Neurospora crassa OR74A: one gene and its partner. The main gene of each other region encodes a partner of the protein of the gene in region 2 in a complex. Links are inferred from orthologs where the notes say so. Each region holds a gene or a part of one and is shown on either strand. Other genes may lie near its edges.

Evidence for each region.
Region 1: NCU00570 (region 2) and NCU08030 share a complex: the UniProt entries of both Saccharomyces cerevisiae proteins name them as parts of the RNA polymerase III (Pol III) complex. The link is inferred for Neurospora crassa OR74A from reciprocal best matches to the Saccharomyces cerevisiae genes RPC11 and RPB8.

Annotation. Positions count from the first base shown.
Region 1 is NC_026504.1:3,962,790-3,972,840, reverse strand, and holds NCU08030 (UDP-glucose 4-epimerase Gal10), read left to right. Parts: upstream 1-4,629; 5' UTR 4,630-4,790; coding exon 4,791-5,137; exon of another isoform or gene 5,138-5,227; coding exon 5,228-5,339; 3' UTR 5,340-5,640; downstream 5,641-10,051. Other genes in the region: NCU08033 (hypothetical protein), read left to right, coding at 1-1,002, 1,074-1,094; NCU08032 (tRNA-splicing endonuclease subunit sen34), read right to left, coding at 1,591-2,538; NCU08031 (paxneb protein superfamily), read right to left, coding at 3,152-4,321; NCU08029 (thiamine pyrophosphokinase), read right to left, coding at 5,641-6,610, 6,764-6,810; NCU08028 (hypothetical protein), read left to right, coding at 8,247-8,933; NCU08027 (nucleoside diphosphatase), read right to left, coding at 9,644-10,051. UniProt on the Saccharomyces cerevisiae protein: DNA-dependent RNA polymerases catalyze the transcription. of DNA into RNA using the four ribonucleoside triphosphates as substrates.
Region 2 is NC_026501.1:7,970,263-7,979,663, forward strand, and holds NCU00570 (DNA-directed RNA polymerase III polypeptide), read left to right. Parts: upstream 1-1,148; 5' UTR 1,149-1,387; coding exon 1,388-1,400; intron 1,401-1,456; coding exon 1,457-1,743; exon of another isoform or gene 1,744-1,799; coding exon 1,800-1,838; 3' UTR 1,839-2,019; downstream 2,020-9,401. Other genes in the region: NCU00571 (hypothetical protein), read right to left, coding at 1-233, 381-407; NCU00569 (SOH1 family protein), read right to left, coding at 2,040-2,327, 2,382-2,498; NCU00568 (hypothetical protein), read left to right, coding at 3,117-4,039, 4,101-4,872; Arg-6 protein, variant, read right to left, coding at 8,059-8,114, 8,171-9,401. UniProt on the Saccharomyces cerevisiae protein: DNA-dependent RNA polymerase catalyzes the transcription of DNA into RNA using the four ribonucleoside triphosphates as substrates. Component of RNA polymerase III which synthesizes small RNAs, such as 5S rRNA and tRNAs.

The DNA of each region.
Region 1 (10,051 bases), on a different chromosome or scaffold from region 2:
ATCATCAAGTTACTCTCTTACTTTGGGATTCGGAATCCGCCACGTTGGCTCCGGGCATTGGCCCTTCAGCCACCAAAGCCGGAGACAACCACCACTGGCAGGAGGTCAGGGCGGAGAGGTGATCGCGGCACAACAGCCATCTGGGTAGACGCATCAGATCCCAACTCTTTCCCTGTTCCGCGCAGTGAGCGTGTAGACGTGGAAGCCGAGTTCCGTCGGCGCCTCCAACAACCCCTCGGCAGTGAGCAACCCGACGCCAGCGAAGCCGACATCGACTCCAGGCTCTACAGCTGGTTTCTTAACGGCGGCTGGTGGGGAAACACCGATACAAGCGGTGACTACGTTCCCCCTGACGGCAGTTCCGGCCTGGACGACCCTGACTTTGACACCACAAGCATCATCTCCACAACCGAGAGCACATCACTATCAGACTTGGACGCCTGGGAGTCCGACAGCGACAACAACCATCTCCAAGACGGCCAACGAACACCCACTCAATCGTCCCCTTACCCAAACAACAATAGTAACCAAAACCCGCTCCATCAATCCTGGGCCTTCTCCCGGGAATCCACTCCCTCGCAAGTAGCAGACCTCCCTCTAGCAGCCTCCGACCTCGCCCGCCTCCTCAACCCGCAGAGCCCGGAAGAGCGCGAGGAAGCCATCACCCTCGCCGCCCACTTGTCCTTTGAAGAAGGCATCATGACCCGCTCCCGCTTCCGCCAGCACCAGGCGCGCCAGCGCGTCAAGGTGCTACTCTCTGGCGCCCAGCACCGTAGTCTTTACGGATATGGAAGGGGGCAAAGCACACAAATGATGACGCCCGAGGAAGAGGCTAGACGGTTGGAACAGATATTGTTGTCGAGGCGGGCGACTGCTGCGCCCACGGAGGCAGGGGAGGAGGGCAGCGGAAGTGGAAGTGGAAGTAATGGGGCGGCAGCGGCAACGGCAGGCGACTGGGCAACGGGCGCGGATGGACTGGGCAGTGAAGGACCGCAGTGCGTGGTCTGTCAGTGCGCGCCGAGAACGATCATCGTGTGGCCGTGTCGGTGTCTGAGTCTCTGCGATGAGTGCAGGGTGAGTTTGGCCATGAATAATTTTGATAAGTGCGTGTGTTGTCGGAGGGAGGTTATTAGTTTTAGCAGGATTTATGTGCCTTGATACTTTGGGCTATGGACTTTATTGGGAAGAGGAAGGTATTTTTCGTATTTCTAAATGGCTTTACACTACACACCTAGTCTAGTTGGTAATGATGAAGGGAATGAGAGGCATGTCTTAAAGAAGAAAGCATCATAAGATGGAAGTTGCGTGTCAAATAGCATGATGAATGGCCATCGAGGTTAGTGTCACGTTGTGAGGCATGTACAGGGGCAAATGGGAAGCGATTGAAAGGGTGTTTTGATGGTTCTTGGTCTGATCTTGGCTGCCTTGGTGTGGATTGTTCCCATGGATTTCCCATGGGATCTCGACGGACTACATATACGCAACAATATATTCATCATTCAACAGGCTTAGATCCGATGATAATACAGAACGTGAAGGCTTGTTGTAATGGGTATCATCTCTTCCGTCAAATGCTCAAGCTGCCTGAAACTACATGCCCGCCCACTCAATGCAGAACGCCCTCAACTCGCCAGCTTCACTGTCCTCTGTCGCCGGTTTCTGCCCTCCCATGAGGAAACTCTTCTTGACAGCCGTTCCCAAACGACCACTGGTGACGAGATCCAACATGGGGATCTTCTCATCCCACCCATAGCTGTTCGCCATATAATGAGCATGATAGCGGAAGGGGTCGCCGGGGTAGACGCTAAAGTCACCACCGAAGCGCAGACCTGGAGTGATGAAGTATCCTCTCTCGTTCAAGTACGAATACAATGGTAGCGCAGTGTGGTTTTCTACATCAGGATTACTTGTCCCGTTAGAAATCATGGCATTGCTGGTGGTTGGAGTGATTGCAGGTAGCTTCTCCTTGACCAGCGGCTTCTGAGGAGGCGTCGACGCGTCCGTTTTGAGTGGCTTGGATGATGACGACTCCAAGAGGAATTCTGCTCCTCCTTCTTCTTCCTGATCTACGGCGGCCGCAACGCCATCGGCAGATGATGCTGACAGCGGCAGTTCAGTGGGTACGACAACAGAGGGCTGTGGCTGTTTCGGCTTGCGCTTGTCCTTGTGCTTAGCCATAGACTGTGCCTTGGCCTCATTGAACACAAGCTGGGCAGTTCTGCGCTGCGTCTTGATAGACTGCAGGTATGATTTGCGCGTCTCGTCATCCATTGACTTCAACTGGGTCAAGTGTTCTAAAGGGTCATCGGCAATGTAGGCAACCTTTCTGTCCAAAAGCATCTTGGCATCCTCGGCATACAGCTCGAGCGGCAATCCTAGGAAGACATTCTGAGTGGGATTCTGCGGCATGGTGCCCGTGAAAACAGCGCAGATGCCATGCTGGCGACGGATATACGCCACATCATCAATATCAAAGACGAGGTACCGACCAGCGATCTTGGAGATCCGTACTTGTCTGTCGTCCTCGGTTGATGACATTGTAAGTGTGTGAAAACAATGAAGTGCCTAATTTTCTCTTGGTTAGAAACAGTTCTTAAACCGAGCTTGCGTCGTGTGTGAACAGGAGAGATAGATTGGCCAAAGGATCAGAAGCCTTGGACAGCCGTATTTATCATCACTATGAATCAGGGGATTGACAGATTGATACGTTTGTTGTTTCATCATGAAATGACCAACTGGGAAGTGTGCAAAAAGAGCTGTTTTGACTTACCAAAAATGCTGTTGTTGGACACGACGACACGAGGAGAGAAAGTGGGAAACTTCTGGGCGGAGGTGCGTGGGCTTTTATCGCGCCGTGGCAGAAAACGGCGGAAATTTGGGCGGTGAGTCCACGACCCCACACATTTTCCTTGAGCTCCACCCCAGGTGTTGCTGTACGCCCGTAGGTAGCTCCAGGCGGGCGTCCACCAATGGTTTCAGTGGCTCGAGTGGACTTACAGCGTGCCCAATACCTGGGCAAGTAAAGAGACGGGAGTTTCAATGATGATCAAGAAGCTCACCTGAACATATGATGAGACTGCCAAAAGGGGGCCAAAAAAAGTCGGTTATTTGCAAAAAAACAAGCCGTTAAATTGCCAAGCGGAAGATGACTTTAGAAATCAAGCCCATCCTTCTTTGGAGCAGCTGAGGGCTTCTCCTGCTCATCCTCGAGCATAGGCGGGAGACTGTACGGTTTGATCACCAAGCCCTTGGATGCGCTCAAGCTGAATGACAGGTTCTCACGGAATTGGCCCGACTCTGCTCCTCCACCACCCTTCTCATGATACACAGGCAGTGTGTATACTTTGAACATACCCTGGGGTTGCTCGTTTGCCTTGGGATCCGACCTTGAGGGCGGCGGTGGCGCGGCACCTAGCCTGGCAGGCAAGGGGATGAGCTCGACGACGCCGTCACAAAGAATTTCTATCCACCGGACCAGGCCTGAACTGCGAGGGAATAAGGACGTCGGGAAGGTAATGATTGCTGTGAGCTGGGTGCTGTACAGTCGAAGGAGAGCCCGGAGCCCATGTAGAAACTGTAGAACCTCTGATGGTTGGGCGCATCCAGGAGGATAGAGGGTTGGTGAGAGGAGACTGGGCACCACCAGTCTATGAATGGCGTTTGATCCTGAGCTCTCCAACTTGGCCCGCAATTGCTTGAGAAGCATCTTCAGAGGAGAAGCTGTCCCAACACTTTTCCGGTCTAAGCTCGGGGAACCGCCAACTGAAATCGGGTTCAGAGTACCCTTGGACTCGGAGCTGGCAAGCCTCTTGCTGAGATCAAAGGAGTGACAGAAAGGCGCTCCAGAATCCCCACGAGCAGAAGCTCCTGCATTGGCGTTGTTACCCAAGGACTCATATCTCCACGCAATCTTCATCTTCTCTTCGGGTGCCGGCGCCGGTGATGCACTCTTTGACTTCTTGTCAGGTGAAGCCAGCCCTGGAAGCTGATGCCTCCATTCTGGCGGAAAGGCTACTGCGTGAACCTGATGCCCTTGGACGAGACCCTCGGCAGCATAGTACCGTAGAAGAATTCCAGAGAAGTCGGTGGTCCCTTGCTCCTCAACCAGTAAGCATGTTCCTAAGGGGAGTCCACCGTGTCCTGCAAGAAGTTGGTCCAGGGAAGCAGTGCCAGTTGAAGTGGTCAACCTGCCATCAGTTGGTGATGGTCGAAGACCCGGCGCAAGCTGCGTTTCCTGTTTGGGTTGCTGCTGCTGGGGAGCGGACGGCGTGAGTCCGGCTCTCGGTGAGGATAGGACGGTGTTTCTTTTGACGAAGGACATAGTTCAGTCGGCAAGTTGCAGTCCTTATTTGAGTATCGAATCCAAACTTGATGATGTTGAGGTATGTATTCTTCAAGTCCAAATATAGTCGATTCGATCCCTGGAAGAAATTCCATGGAAGCTTGGACGTCACTGGAGTGCCTGAGAGCCCCGCTGTACTTTTGTCACACACTGGACGGGCGTGACAGGGATTTTCAATGGTGGTTGCCCCACTACTTGCCCCGGCATCCTGGTCCAATTGCCGCAAGGCTGGAATTTTTTGGGACGGCAACTGCATGGCGGCATCTCCATCGCTCAGTCGCATCTCCAAAAGTTTCCCCAAACACCATCATTACTACCGCTCGCGACAATTCGTTTTACCCACCTATCGACACGCGTTTGATACTCGACCAAAATCTGACACTAGTATCCTTCCGAGCAATCAATATCCAACATCGACTGTTTCATCGATTCCACACCAGCATTCACAATGTCCGCCCTCACGTCCGACGCCCAACTCTTCGAGGACGAGTTCAAGGTCGAGAGAATCAGCGATCCCAAGTACGACCGCGTCGACCGTCTGTACTGCACCTCCGTCGATGGCCAGACCAGCATGCAGCTCGATGTCAACAAGGAGCTCTTCCCTGTCAAGGTCGGCGAGTACCTTAGAATTGCATTGGCTACTTCCTTGTCCCTCGACGGTAGCAAGGACGACGAGAGGGGTTGGCGCGATGCTGCCAAGCTCGGTAGCGTTGAGCAGACCCTGGCCGACAGCTATGAGTATGTCTGCCATGGCAAGGTCTACAAGTTTGAGGATGGAAAGGATGGCCAGACCATGTAAGTTGTTGCCTGGGAATTGGGCAGGAGTATCTCGACCTTGGAATTCGGGGAAAATGAGTGGCTGACTGGTTCGGTTGCGAAATTTAGCAAGGCGTATATGTCCTACGGTGGTCTTCTGATGGCCCTCGATGGTCCCTACAAGAAGCTCACGCCCCTGCGTGTCGACTACGTCTACCTCCTCGCCAACAGGAACGCTTGAGAGCTGAAATTTCCGGAGAATAAAAAATTGAAAAAAAGCAAATGTTTCCAGCGGCTAAATAGCATCAGACCGATCAAGAGTCTAGGGCGCGAGCAACATTCATTGGATCTTTGGAGGGCGAACGGGCGTTTAAGGTTATGCGTGGACCAGAAAAGGCATATCCTAGGGAAAAGGGGTCTGGGGAAAGTAATGAATCAACGATACCCGGAAAGCAAGTACCTGTATTTATGCCGCTACCGAGCCAAGGGCTGTCCATCTGCCTTTGGAAGAGCTAGTGCCCTGCGGAAGGTGCTCGATGGATTCAGGCCTGATGAGGACCGGGAAAGGCGATGTGTCGATGAGCCCGGTCACGAAATGCGTCGTAATGCGGCTCGTTTTCAGGCGTGTAAATGCCGTGCCGAACGAAGAAATCGAGCATGACGACGGCACAGTTCGGCTTCCACATTCCCTGGGCGAGCTGTTTCTGGATCTCCTCCACTGTGCACAAGCTGAAGCTCTCGACCTCGCCGTCTTTTGGCTCGGGGACGACACTTCCATCCGCAGGTAGCTCTAGATCATAAATCCATTGGCATTCCGGGTAGATCAACCCCGCCTCGCCTCCCGCGCGCTCGTCCGTGATGTAGATATAAGTGATGGTGCAGACCTCTTTGGCGTTGTTCCTCACGATATGCTCGGACAGTGAAGCCTCTTCGTCCGCCTCACGGATGACGCATTCGAAGGGGTCTTCGTTGGTCATCAAGCCACCCGCTACCGCGTTGTCCAACATGCTCGGATAGGTCGATTTGGTCGCGGACCGCTTGGGAACCCAGATTCTCAAGTCATACTTGCTGCTGGCATCCTGACGTCTGATGAAGGCGTTCATATGCACGCCGTAGCGTGTGGTTCCAAAGAGGCCCATAGCTGCCCGCTCTATGCTGAACACGAGCTCCTTGTTGCGACCATAAACTGGCCACAGCTCGTTTCGCCAGCTCTTGAGGATGGCAAATGCCTCTTGTTCACGCCAAAGCGCAGTGAGCTTTCCGACAAGCCGAGTGCGTTCCTCGTAGGTTTTGTCCGGGGCATCACGGAAGAGCACTACAGTCCTATTAGAGACATCGATGTGCAACCCTAACTGTCCTTTGAGAGTTGCCGGGGCTTTGTTGAGTGCATCGACAACGTCCAGCTTCACGTAGCCTATGGGTACCTGACCCTGCTGGTCTTCCCAGACGAACGTGTAGAAAGACTTCATGATCTGGGCATAAGCCTCGGGATCCCGGTCCGCGTAAGGGAAGCTTGATTTTTAGAGATAATGTAAGCGCTCGTTCTGGTCATGTTCGGAATCCAGGTAGGCCTTAGATCCGTTCACTGAAGTTCCATCTAAGTTCCTGGGCGTGAACACAGAGGATTCGGTTTCACAGAAAAAAAATAAACAAATAAATACGTACGCATCGACTTTAGCCACCAAGTCGAGGGTGGACAACCGAGGAGTCATGGTTTGGCAACGGGTTCCCGAGACCTTGGATAATAGGGCGTGGTCACACGGGATCGAGTAATGCAAATGAAGCCGAAAGTCTGGATTTGTTGACTTGAGCTTGAGAGGCACAAGTGAGAGGATGTTGTCAAGGGAAGAGAGCGTGGGGAAGCAGATATTGGCGTGCGCTAATCTCCTGTCGTTCGGGAGCGCAATTGAAGACCGTCGGGAATTGGGAGGGGAGGAACATGAAGCATCTCAAATTAGGGAGACAGCATCAACAGGGCAATTCTTCACTTTCAATATATTTGAATCAATGGAACGAATTCGTGTTTGAGGTTACAAGCGCAAGTGAATTAATTGATCTCATATCGTCTTTCCTTCAGATAGTTCAGATGACGAGACTCGGGACAGAACTTATGGAAGGATAGAAATCCAAAAAGCCCCTGTCGCGTGTTGAGGCGCTTTGTAGCGGGGAAAGAGCAGTTTACCACAGGGGGTCACAATGGGGCAACGAACAATCCTCATTGAAAGTGGAAGTTACAGACAAGGACTTGGCCTTTCCATCCATGTCATTGGATCCCAGAATGGAGATTGTATCGTGGAAATGGAGGGTCTATCTACTGAAGCTTCAAATTTTTGCAAGTCGAGGACTCTAGAATCATCTCTATGTTGGTTCCAAGACCCAGTGATTTTCTGAACTGCCCGGCTGCCCTGCCGTCACAAGGAAGCATCCGAGACGGGAGACCCACAGTAGCTTGAGATCTCGCCATCACATCATCAGCTTCAATAAGAGTGTAGAAACAAATATATACCAGACAACTCTTCGGGGGAAACTATCAAGTATAATTGACAGCTATTCTTTTCAATGAGGAAAACCGTGAAATCCCTTTCCCTCTCTATAGCCAGTGACGGTTGTGCGCAAAGAATACCTACCTTGCTGCCAGCTCATTGTTTGACCCCACATATTACGGCATTATAAACGCTTCGGCCGCTCCACGTCCGGAAAACAACTGAGATTCGAGGACAAAGCGGCATCTTCGAGGAAACAACAAACGGAATCGGTCATTCACCCCGAGTCCAGGTCTTTGTTTACATAGAGTTGACATTAACAGCTTCACACGCTACGACCGCGAGTTCGAATTCGTGGTCTTTTGTCTTCCAAAACCGAAGCTCACCCCACGATCTTGCGAACACAACTATACATCTTGAAGGACCTCAGCCATAGATATCCTATCTCATCCGTTCGATATATCTATCAGAGGCAAAAACCAGCACAAGCTCCAACCAGAACGGGACACCGAATCAACTCCCCATACCGACAGCCGTGAGCTCTGTCAATTTCATCATCATCAACCACACCCGAGCAGTGCCCAACAGCAACAGGCGATCAACACCGCCACCAAACCCATTCTCTTATCACACCACATTATCACCAAACCACAAATCCAACAAAAATGTCCCAACCCCTCTTCGGCCTCATTCCCGCCGGTCAGCCCGTAATAATCTCCCCCACCGAAGCTCCCAGTCCCACCTCCTTCCTGTACGCCATCCCACCGACCAACCCGAACTCTCCCCCCGGTTCCGCCATCTCCAAGCCCTTCGGGCACGTCGTCGTCTTTCTTTTGCCTGGCGTAGTCCTCCCCCCGGGGACCGCAGCAGCAATTTACCTCGTCACTCCGCCCTCACCAGGGCAGACGGCGCCCAACTTCAAGTTTTTGGGTGGGATCGGCCCGGGGAAGGAGAGTGCTATCTTCAAGGTTGGACCTGGTGCAGGAGGGACAGGGGGTGGGAACGAGAATGTGGTGATTGGGGTCTCGGTTGAGGATGCGGAGAGTGTGGCCAGTAGGATGTCTGCGACGGGGACAACAACACCAGGAGCAGCAGCAGCAGCAGCAACAACAAGTGGTAATGGGACAGAAGGGGCGTTGGTGCCGGTTTCGGCAGCGCGGCAGCAGCCGAGCACGCTGGTGCTGGCGCAGAGGATCATCAAGAATGCCTTCAACTTCTTGTCGAGCTATACCGGGTCCACGCCGGGGCAGATGGAGGTGGTGCCGCTTAAGGCGTTTGAGGAGTGGTGGAAGAAGTTTGAGAGTAAGGTGAGGACAGACCCGGGGTTTTTGGAAAGGGATGATGATCAATGATCAGTAAGCATATGGGGACAAAGGAATGGTGACTCAGAAGAAAGCGTTCTATACATATGTGACGAGGGCTGAATTCGTGGGAGAGGCTCCCGGATGGGCATAGTTGGAAGAAAGCCTTCTTTCCTCCTGGCGGATGTGTACCTAGTCTTGGGCTTCGGGGACAAAAGGGGGGGTTCGTCGAAATTGGTGAAATTGGTGAAATTGTAGATGGCAAGACCATGAAATTGTCATATTAATGATGAGGTCAGGTCAACGCCATGTTTGTGTATGTGTCAGATCGTTCAGGACGCAAATATACCCAGTTAGAACAAAGGACAAGCAAAGATGGCACAGAGAGACGCTGGAAAATTTTGCGAATGAAAATGAGGTATCTTGTTCCAAAATCCTGTGATAAAGCCATACTAGCTAGCTGTTGGCAATGAAGAAGAATGAAGAATAGAAATATACTGAAAGCCCGTCGCTCAGATGGGTTTGAAGACCACCCGTATCGTTGTCATCATACAAAAATCGTTGGACGACATGGCCGCTAACCTCCTAGAAGAACAATTATCCATCATCAAGAAAGTACCATATACAGAGGTAAAAGGTAGAAATGCAAAACCCATAAAACATCCGCCAACGCCGTTTCCCATGACAAATCGTTCAATCAAGCACAAAGCGACTGGTTGTCTTTTCGTAACAAAACTTTGAGGCACATGGGCCTCGACGCCTTAACCTTGCAAAGGCGACATCAAAGGACTTTTCAGCCTCGTGGGACTACCAGCCCGGCTCCTCCTCCCCTGCAAACTCATAGTCGTCGTTGTAGGCGTCAACCCCAGCCGCTCTCGACTATCCGTCCTGACCACTAAGCCCGCCCTATCGAGCGCCGAGCCGCCAGGCGTCATTAGTCCGTTGCCGCAGCCGAGATCAGCAAACCGGCCATCCAGGTTCAGCTTGGGCGTTGCCAGCCCCGACGTAATCCCAAGCTTAGACCGTCCCCCTCCGCTGGAGCTGCTGTCGCTGGAATCAGAGTAGAAGCCGTTGAGGTCGTTGTTGTGGTCAAAGTAGGAAGATGCTGAGTTGCGGAAGTGGGAATCGTTTAGCTCGAACTCGGCGGCTTCGCCTTCCTCCAGAACGCG
Region 2 (9,401 bases):
TCGAGTCGGTTGACGGGATCGCATTCAAAGCCTGGTTGGTCGAGGAGCATGTCGATTATCTCGTAGTTGCCACGGAGCGCGGCTTCGTGGTAGAGGTGGTTGCCCATCACGGTGGTCGTGTTGTTCAAGAGGGAGGAGATTTCTTCGTCGGATTTGTCGGCGAGAATTTCCGAGAGGAGGTCAGTGTTGTTACGCCGGCAAGCTTCAATGAGCTGCTCGGAGATGGAGGCACCCTGTATTTTGGGGGGTGAAAGAAGGAAGGGTTAGCTGGGGTTGTCTGTAGTATAGCTGTTTGCGCGAGAGGGCGTAGGGCGGGTGAAACGGGGGATAGAAGAGAGAGGGTGTTAGTTGGGGGTAGAGGACGCTTGTGTGGTACGAACCTCGTGTTCTTCGTCCTTTCCGGCCATGGTTACTGGTAGGTCACTTGTGGTTGTCTCGGAAACGGCGGGTGATGTTTCTTGGTTGTAGGAAGAAGCACAAGTAGCGAAAACGACGGTGAAAGCGAAGAGGGATGACGGCGAGAGTTGTCCAAAGTAGAGAGGTAAGATTGGCCTGGAATTGCTAATTACGAGCGGGAATCGTGGAAATGGGTCGGCGGGGGAGAGTGGATGTACGGTATGGAAGTGGCCAGGCTGTCGAATCAGGTAATCGGTCGATTCCTATAAAAGGATCGGGATCGCGTAACGCTCAATGAGGGATCTTCGGGGTAATAAGAGGGCGGCGAACGACTGTTTGTAGGGTACAGTGTACTGTATTCTATGAGATATCTCCAGTCGTGGTGGTGGTGGTGGTTGTATGAAGGACGGGATGGAAGCATTCCGTACCTCTACCTAACGGGCTGGTTAGGAGGTGGCAGTGGCAGTGTCGTCTTCCCTTGGTGTTACAGAATGGTCGGCTCCTTGCGGGGCCCGATCAGGACGCTGGCATTCAGATGGCATGCGCTGAGGCCCAGCTGCATGTCAGTGAGTAGGTACGTACCTACCTTAGCACAGGCACAACAGAAAGGGCCGTTGGGTCCAGGCACCGCTGACCAAGTGTGGGACAGTTGATGATGCAGATCTGACCAATGAAAATTCAAGCGCTACATTTAAGGTTTATAGAATTAACGGACCGCATCGAGCTATAACACTTTTTTTCAGGCCATCGCCCCTACACTGACTATTTACACTCTAACAACTTATATCACTACCTTAAAGCCCAGCAAGTGGTAGACATAAACACCGGTCTTGGCCAGCTGTTTTCACAAAAGGTACCAGCTTACGGCGACGCCTCTTCTCATCAGGATCGTCAACAAGACTTTTGGCAACCGCTCGACTCATCTCACTTGCTATTCATAACGGACGATAACACACAACAAACAAATCCAGTCCCTTCATCAATAGCAAACATGCCTATCGTCTGTAAGTCCAAGTCCACCCACAAAGGCTAGGACACCGGAACTAAACGCCCACCACAGTTTGCCCATTCTGCGCCAACCTCCTCATCCTCTCCCGAGCGGACACGGGTGGCAACAGGCTCGAGTGCAGAACCTGTCCTTACGAACACCCCATCGACAAGCCCATCTACTCCCGCAAGAACTTCCCGCGCAAGGAGAAGGAAGACGTGTTTGGTGGTCCAGGCGCTTGGGACAATGCACAAAAAGGCAAGGTCCAGTGTGACAGCGGAACTTGCAATGGCAACGAGGCAGCCTTCTTCCAGGTTCAAATTCGTAGTGCTGATGAACCGATGACGACGTTCTACAAGGTAAGAAGGGGATTGCAGACTGATGGGATAAAGTAAGAAGCTAACATGTCTCGTAGTGTATGACTTGCGGGCACAGGTGGAGAGACAACAACTAGAGGAAGAAGACATGTTCAGCACAGGTCTGGTCGGATCATCAATACATGGTATTGGGGGCATTGCTTGGCGTTGGGTTTTTCTTTTGTTTTTGTGTAGTTGCATGTGAGGTATTCTTCATCAGAATCAACTTGTGCGGTACTGGCCTGCCAGAGGCTACTTCCCACTCGTTTCCATCCCTGGCATCATTCTACCCGTGCAACTTATGCCGTGCTTGGAAAACTCTCTCGATGCCAGTCGATTCCGGCCTTCATGCCCTCTAGCCTGAGACGCTCGACCAGGTCTGGGCTGATGATGTCCTGCCTGAACTTTTCCTGCTGCAGCAACTCCAGGTTCTTCAAGGTAGGCCCAGGGTAGGTGATATACTTGAGGTAAGGTGGGCGGCTCCAGTACTGGAGATAGTCGAGGTAGGCGATGAAAGCAGGATTGCTGAGTAGCTTCCTGGACGCAAGATGGTTCAGGTACAGCGGGTTGCCAAGTGCTTGAACAAACTGAGTGTTCTGTTAATACCACGCACGCTGGATGATAATGTGTATGAAGCCTACCTCCAGTTCGAGTTCGAACCGTGTATATCCTCCATACTTGGGCTCGTCTGCCCCTGATCCCGGAGGCGCAGGTGGCTCCCTTGCTGAACTGTTTACTGACATGGGATCGGATGCCATGACGTAAAAAATGAGTGTTTGTTACAGTGTTCCAATCTGTGAATGAGCTGGATACCTAGGAACGTGTCTAGATGTTTGCGCCTCTTTGTCAAGTGAATGCGATGGGCAGTACAAGTAGACGTGAGCAGTGGCTGCTCTTAAATGGTCGTTTGTGTTGGACGAAAGCCTCAACGGCCCGTGAGTGCCCGGAAGGAAGGCGAGACTGTTTTGTTCCACCAACAATTCCTCGAGGGCGGCCCGGATGTGGCAAATTAGTGGGGCAAGCAAGCGGAGATGGCTCTGTCCCTGCAGAAAAATCAGCGTGTAACCGCTATAAATACTCAGATCAGCCCTGTAACTTGCTTCTGCAGTGACAGTCAACCCGACAACAACCTGGAACCTAATTGTGGAACCCAAGGCCGCTTCCGTTGTTCCCTTCCAGGGCAGGTTGGACACGCAGCTTTATCTCAACACCAACCCAACATCCCACGTTGACGGCATTATCCACGTTGACGGAATTATCTCATCTTTCTCACTGCTACAAAAAGCATTCGATACTCGGTGTTCATATCTCATTCATAACGACAGATTACGGCAAATAGAAACGCATGAGTATCGCGAGTTGACTAGGATATCACCATGGCTTCTCCTGAAGCTTCGGCCGTCAACGCGACAGGTACTATCCTTCCATCTCCGGTTCCAGATGCCACACCATACACTTTTCATTGGGAGATGCTCCTTAGGCCAGAAGTTCTTTGGTTTGATGCTCAGGTTATCTTCGGCGCCTTGGCTGTAATATGGCTTGGTGCTCATGGCTCCCTCCGCCGACCTCCCTCCGCTGCCCCACCAGAGTCCGAAGACAAGGACGAGAAGAAGAAGAAGTCAAAGGAAGACGAGCAGTTCACGGAAGGACTGACTGCCTCTGATGCCATCATGTTTCCCATTCTGGCCGGCGCAGTTCTCATTGGGCTCTACTATCTGCTAGAGTGGCTTAAGGATCCCAACCTGTTGAACAAGATACTGCGAGGTTACATGTCTTTCGCTGGCATTGCCGGCCTCGGCAAGCTGTCCGGGGACGCCTTAGAGATTCTCACCAGCTTGATTTTCCCAAGTGTATGGTCAGATCGCAGCAACAGACTCTACTACGTCGATCCGAAACGCCGCTCTCAGGTACTAGTTGACCCAACGACGAACCAGGCCATGATCACCGACAAGAAGTCGCCTTTCCCCGGTGTGTTTTCCATGGTTCGCCTGCCTCCTGGAATCAACAGACTTGCCTGGGAGATTCGGCACCTCTTTACGGAGAAGTGGACAGTCCGCCTTGCTGCCCATGGCGTCGGCTCTTTCAAGTCGCAGATCAAGTTCAACCATCTACTTGGATTCTTGGTCTCAATCGCGATAACTACTGCATATCACCTTGTTCAGTGGCATGTCCTTTCCAACATTCTTGGGGCTGCCATGTGCTACGCTGCTTTTGGCATGCTCTCGCCCACGTCTTTCGGTATAGGTACCGCTGTTCTTTGGGGTCTCTTCTTCTATGACATCGTCATGGTGTTTTACACGTATGTTTCCACCCATCTTTCAGCCAGGACAGCTATCCAGTTACTAATCCATTTTCTACAGTCCGTTCATGATCACCGTTGCTAAAAAGGTTGACGCCCCAATCAAGCTGGTATTCAAGAGTTCGTCCGGCTTCAGCATGCTGGGACTCGGAGACATTGTTGTTCCTGGCTTGGTCATGGCACTCGCCCTTCGCTTCGACTTGTACATGTTTTACAAGAGACAAATCCAATATCAGCCAGTTGATGCGTCTTCCAAGCAGGCCTCATCTACGGATCAAGCAGCTAGTTCTACGAACGAAATGCAGTTCCGACGAACCAAAGCACCATTCGTGGAATCAGAAGGTCAATGGGGCAACCGCTTCTGGACCACCAAGCTGGGCAACCTGATGCCAAACCCAGCATGTGGCGCGGTCGGAGCTGCAACTGCTTTTCCCAAGCCCTACTTTTACGCTTCGGTAGCAGGTTATGCCTTGGGCATGGTTTTCACCTTGACGATGCTCCAGGTGTTCAACCACGGACAGCCCGCGCTGTTGTACCTGGTCCCTTGCGTTACCGGGTCCGTCTGGCTGACCGGTCTGATTCGCAGGGAACTCAAGGATGTGTGGGGCTATACCGAGGACGGGAGTTTGGACACAAAGGACGTCGTTGTTACGTTGGACGCCGATGGAGATGAGGTCAGGAAGCCAGCGAGAGACAAGGATAATAAAGAGGCGAAGGATGGTGATAAGGGTCAGAAGGAGGCAGAGAAGGAGGAAGAGGAGACATCCCAGGAGTACGATGTCGTGCTATTCTCTATCAAGGCTCCCAGGCCCAAGCCTCCAAAGACGGATTAGTCATTTAAGGTAGCCAGGTCTTTGAATCGGGCATGATGCTATTGGGATAGAGAGCGTATGGAGTTTGGGTTCGAAGAATACATAGAAGGTAGAAGTGCATGCCACTCAGCGTCATCATAATATATCCGGGAAAAAAGAAAAAGACACAATGACCCTGCCACACTTGGACACTCGCCGGGCGTTCATGCTGCGTCTCAAAACTGGACTCACTGAAACATATACATTGACAAAAACAAGAAGAAAAAGAAGAAAAAAAAAAAAAAAAAAAAAAAAGACCATGTCACCATTTGAACCCCGCGACCTCTGTCTTCTTTTCCCATCTGCTCCCTCAGCTTCGATGAGGATATGAAATTATACCCTAAAAAGAAAGCCCAACAACCGCGCACTTAAGCAGCACACATTTGTTAACCGGCTCAACGCTGTCCCTGCCATCTATTCTCTGTACTTGTCATTAACTTTCAAGTGGACGCGGCCTGACGATGTGGAGCCTTTTTGAGTTACTTGAATGTACATCATTGTTCCCGAACCAACAGGTGAGTGAGTATTTTGGGGCCAGGGAGGTTTGAGTTTTTACAACGGTAGACCGTTGCGCTAGCTGACCCAGCGGTGGCGGCAATCGTAGTTGCTGATTACCTAAGGAGCTTATATGTTCGTTTGTTAGAGGATCAACTTGGGAAGGAGCGGGAGGTTCATAAGTAGGTACTTCTAAGTACGGGGGCCTGATGGGACGGGATGGAATGTTAATGTTTGCTGTAGTGGTTATCCTTACTGTCAGTCAGTGTTGCACCTATAGGAAAAGATCCTTTTGGATGGGTATTTTAAGAATTCTCCATGTGAGAGACGGGAATTGATGATAGTGGTATATTTGTAAACTGTAACGGCGTTGTGTCCATAAGCTAAATGACTGTCCGTACCTACCGATTCCTTATGTACAACTCCAAAGGATATCATACTTGCTGTCTGCTGTTTATCCCCCTCTGACCTGATCAACACCAGACACCATCCTACCAGATCTTGTATCTCTCTACATAAGGAACGAACGGAGTTCAAACACCCACTCTCCAGCAACAGCAACAACAGCATTTACACATACGACCATAGGCACTTGGAGAACTCGGGATCCCGTCTGATCTCCCATTGATAAGCCAGTGACCGCCAGACTAGTAGTCGGATCGGTGACGACCGGCGAATAACCTGGTGTTGTATGTCTTTGTCTTTTTTTGTTCCTTCTCTTTTTGGTCCTCTACCTTTGACTCCTTCTCTTGGAGGAAAGTGGGATGTGCGTCGAAGGAATGAGAAATGGGTACTAGCCATGGAACAAAAACAGCTGGATGTCTTTCTGTGGATCAAGTTCAAAAACATGTTCTCGCCAGCTGCATTAAGTGTCTATTCTGACGAACTGTGAATGAGAATCCGTTGTGCCCCACACAAAGACTATAACGCCGTCACCTCTCAGGCCCTCCCACATTTCCTTCCTAGATCACATGGGGGCGATGATGGTAGTGTTTACAGATGAATTATAAGATCAAATTTACCCTCCCTTAAGAGATCAAAGAACAGGTAGCTGGGTAGGCGTCAGAGGACACTGTTACCTAGGTACGTAGTGCTTTAAAAGGCAAATAGAACGGTATGCAGTACGTATGAAAACGTAGTATATTTGGAGAGATCTTGATGAGTGATGTATTAAAGTTCTTACTTCACTCTGGGGTTCCCCCTTCCTTATATATATTTTAGGCCAATCATTAGTCCAGTGACAAGCCGTTGATACCATTACAATTACCATTTTCCGCTCGTTTTAATGGTACTTTTGTTTGGTCAAATATGTCAGACGTGGAGGCTGGAAGCCGGATCCGAAATATGTAGTCTTTTTCTCAGCTTCTTTCTTCAGTACTACCCCATATAATTGTCATACAAACGAAACCGTTTGACGGCTGGAGACGTCTGGTTTTTTCCTTGCAAGATTGTACATATGACTTCGTACGACTGGTGTTTGAGATCAGAACTCGATCACAAAGGTCGAGAATACCGCTGAGGGTATTGTAAGAAGGAAAGTGTGTGTGTCGCTTGAATGTGGGAATTGATGATTCGAAATAAGAGACCAGAGCAAGAAGCGTACGCCTGGTCAATGACCAAATAAAGTGTATACGAGCCTTGTCTGATCTACAGAGCCCACATACCAATGGAGTGGATGGTTTTCCCATATACTTTATGTGGTAATGGTCAGCATGTGCGAACGCCTCTTATCGTAGCTCTCTTTTGGACCCCGGAATCCATCATGTTGAAGCGTAGAAAGATTTTGGAAAGAAACCCCATCTAGAACGCCACGATTCCATTCGAGGTACTGTCCAGACTGGGACTATTGAATACTTCACTGTCGTCATTCGAGCGTCGTGCATTTGGTCAGAAGCGAACCGATAGCGTTGTTCTGTCGATAGTCTATCCCGGAAAACTGAACGCCGAGCCATCAGGAGGATAGTGGCCTCATTCGGTCGTTAAAATTGTAGAACTAGTACGAGAGCTGAAGGAAGAAAGAGGCTGTGTGATGTGTGCGATTACTTCGGGCTCGGGGGCTCCGTATGGTCCGTTTGGAGTCCACTGCATGGTAGACCTCGGAGGCCGCTGATAGTATCTATATCGAGATGGATTGACCGGTCCAGCGATACCTGGGAGATGACTAAAAGGAAGGAGGCCAGCGGATCAAAATAGACCGAGGCAAAGCTTATAATTGGTTACCTACCTTAGAACAATGTCGTTCAGATAACCGTCCAGTCTTTGCGGTTGGAGAGAGCATCAGGCATCGAGTGACTCGTCAAGGAAATAGATGCTGACTAGCTTCCCATCCCAGGGATGATATATCAACTTCGCTTTTTCGTTTTCCAGCAGCTTAATATATACAATGATGCCAGGCCAGCCATACCTTTCATCATAAGCCGGGGGGAAATAACAACAATGTGGGCGCAAAAACAAGCAAAGGAATCAAATCCAGTTTTCAACATGCCCAGCTAAACTCCGTATGAACCGCAATATACCAAGGTGAAAGACAAAAACTGTATGTAAGGAGAACGTTGACCAAGCATGACCCAAAAATTCGCTGGATTGTAAAAACCTTTCGGTGGAAAATGTGCGACAAGTGTTACGCACGGCAGACAACTTTGGATCTCATCAGATCCAACAACGTTTACTCATTTACATGGTGGGAATACCCTCGTACTCAGCGTAGCCAAGGGCAAGGTTCATGTTCTCTGTTAATGTGGTTAGCAGAGGCACTCTGCGAGACTGGAGAGTATAGAAAACTTACGCAGGCACTGGGTAGCGGCACCCTTGAGGAGGTTGTCAATGGTAGCGCAGATGACGACGCGGCGGCCGGACTTGTCAACCTCGAAACCACCAATTTCAACACCGTGCTTACCACCAATGTTCTTAACGGAAGGAGCCTCGCCAACAACCTTGACGAGCTTCTCGCCGGCATAGCGGTCCTGGTACAGCTGACGGATGTCGCGGGAAGTCATGCTCTTGTTGAGGGGAATGGAGATGGTGTGGTGGATACCGCGGAACCAGACAGCGACATGGGGCATGAAGGCAATCTCGGCACCGAGCTGGGAGCTAACCTCACGCTCGTGGATGTGGCCAGTCAAGCTGTAGGGGATGATGTTGTTGGTGAGATTCTCGACATCGTTCTTGGGAGAAGGCTTGGTGCCAGCACCAGAGTAGCCAGAGACACCGAAGACGTGGGGCATACCACCGAGGTGAGGAACCAAGGGAGAAATACCGAGCTGGGCGGCAGTAGCGTAGCAGCCGGGGTTGGCAATCTGAGTAGCCTGGATGATGTTGCTGCGCTGGACAAGCTCAGGGAGACCGTAGGTCCACTTGTTGTCAAAGCGGTAATCAGCAGAAAGATCGATAATAACGCTCTTGTGGCCGGAAGCCTTGCGACCCTCCCAGACGGCCTCAACGAAGGGCTTGCAGACACCGTTGGGCAGAGCCATAACCCAGCAGTCAATCTCGCCACGCTTCTCCATATCACGGACATCCTCAGGGCTGAGGTTCTCATAGATAACCTCCTGCTTGTTGTAGCCTTCGAGTTTCTTGCCAGCAAGCTCACGAGAGGAGACATGGTGAAGCTCCATGTTGGGATGAGAGTCGATGAGGCGGATCAGCTCCTGGCCCGTGTAACCACGAGCACCGATGAGGGCAACGCGAGCGGGACGGTCCATAGAGGCATTTTGCTTGCCGACAGGGGGGTTGGGGTTGGTCTGGGTTAGGTAGCCCCTGCGGTTAGAGATGCTGAACTTGGGAAGGGCAGGGCGGCGAGCAAGAGTGGAGTAGCCGCGAACCTGCTGGGCAGCGGGCTTGCTGGCAGCCTGACGAAGACGAGACTCGAGGTTGGAGTTACCAAGCATGGCGCGGCCGTTCTCGGTGAAATCCTTCATGAGCTTGACAATCTCATCGCCGTTCTCAATGCCATACCAGAACATGACATCACCCTGGCGGGTGATGCTACCGTCGGCCTTGTCAAAGAACCAGCCGAG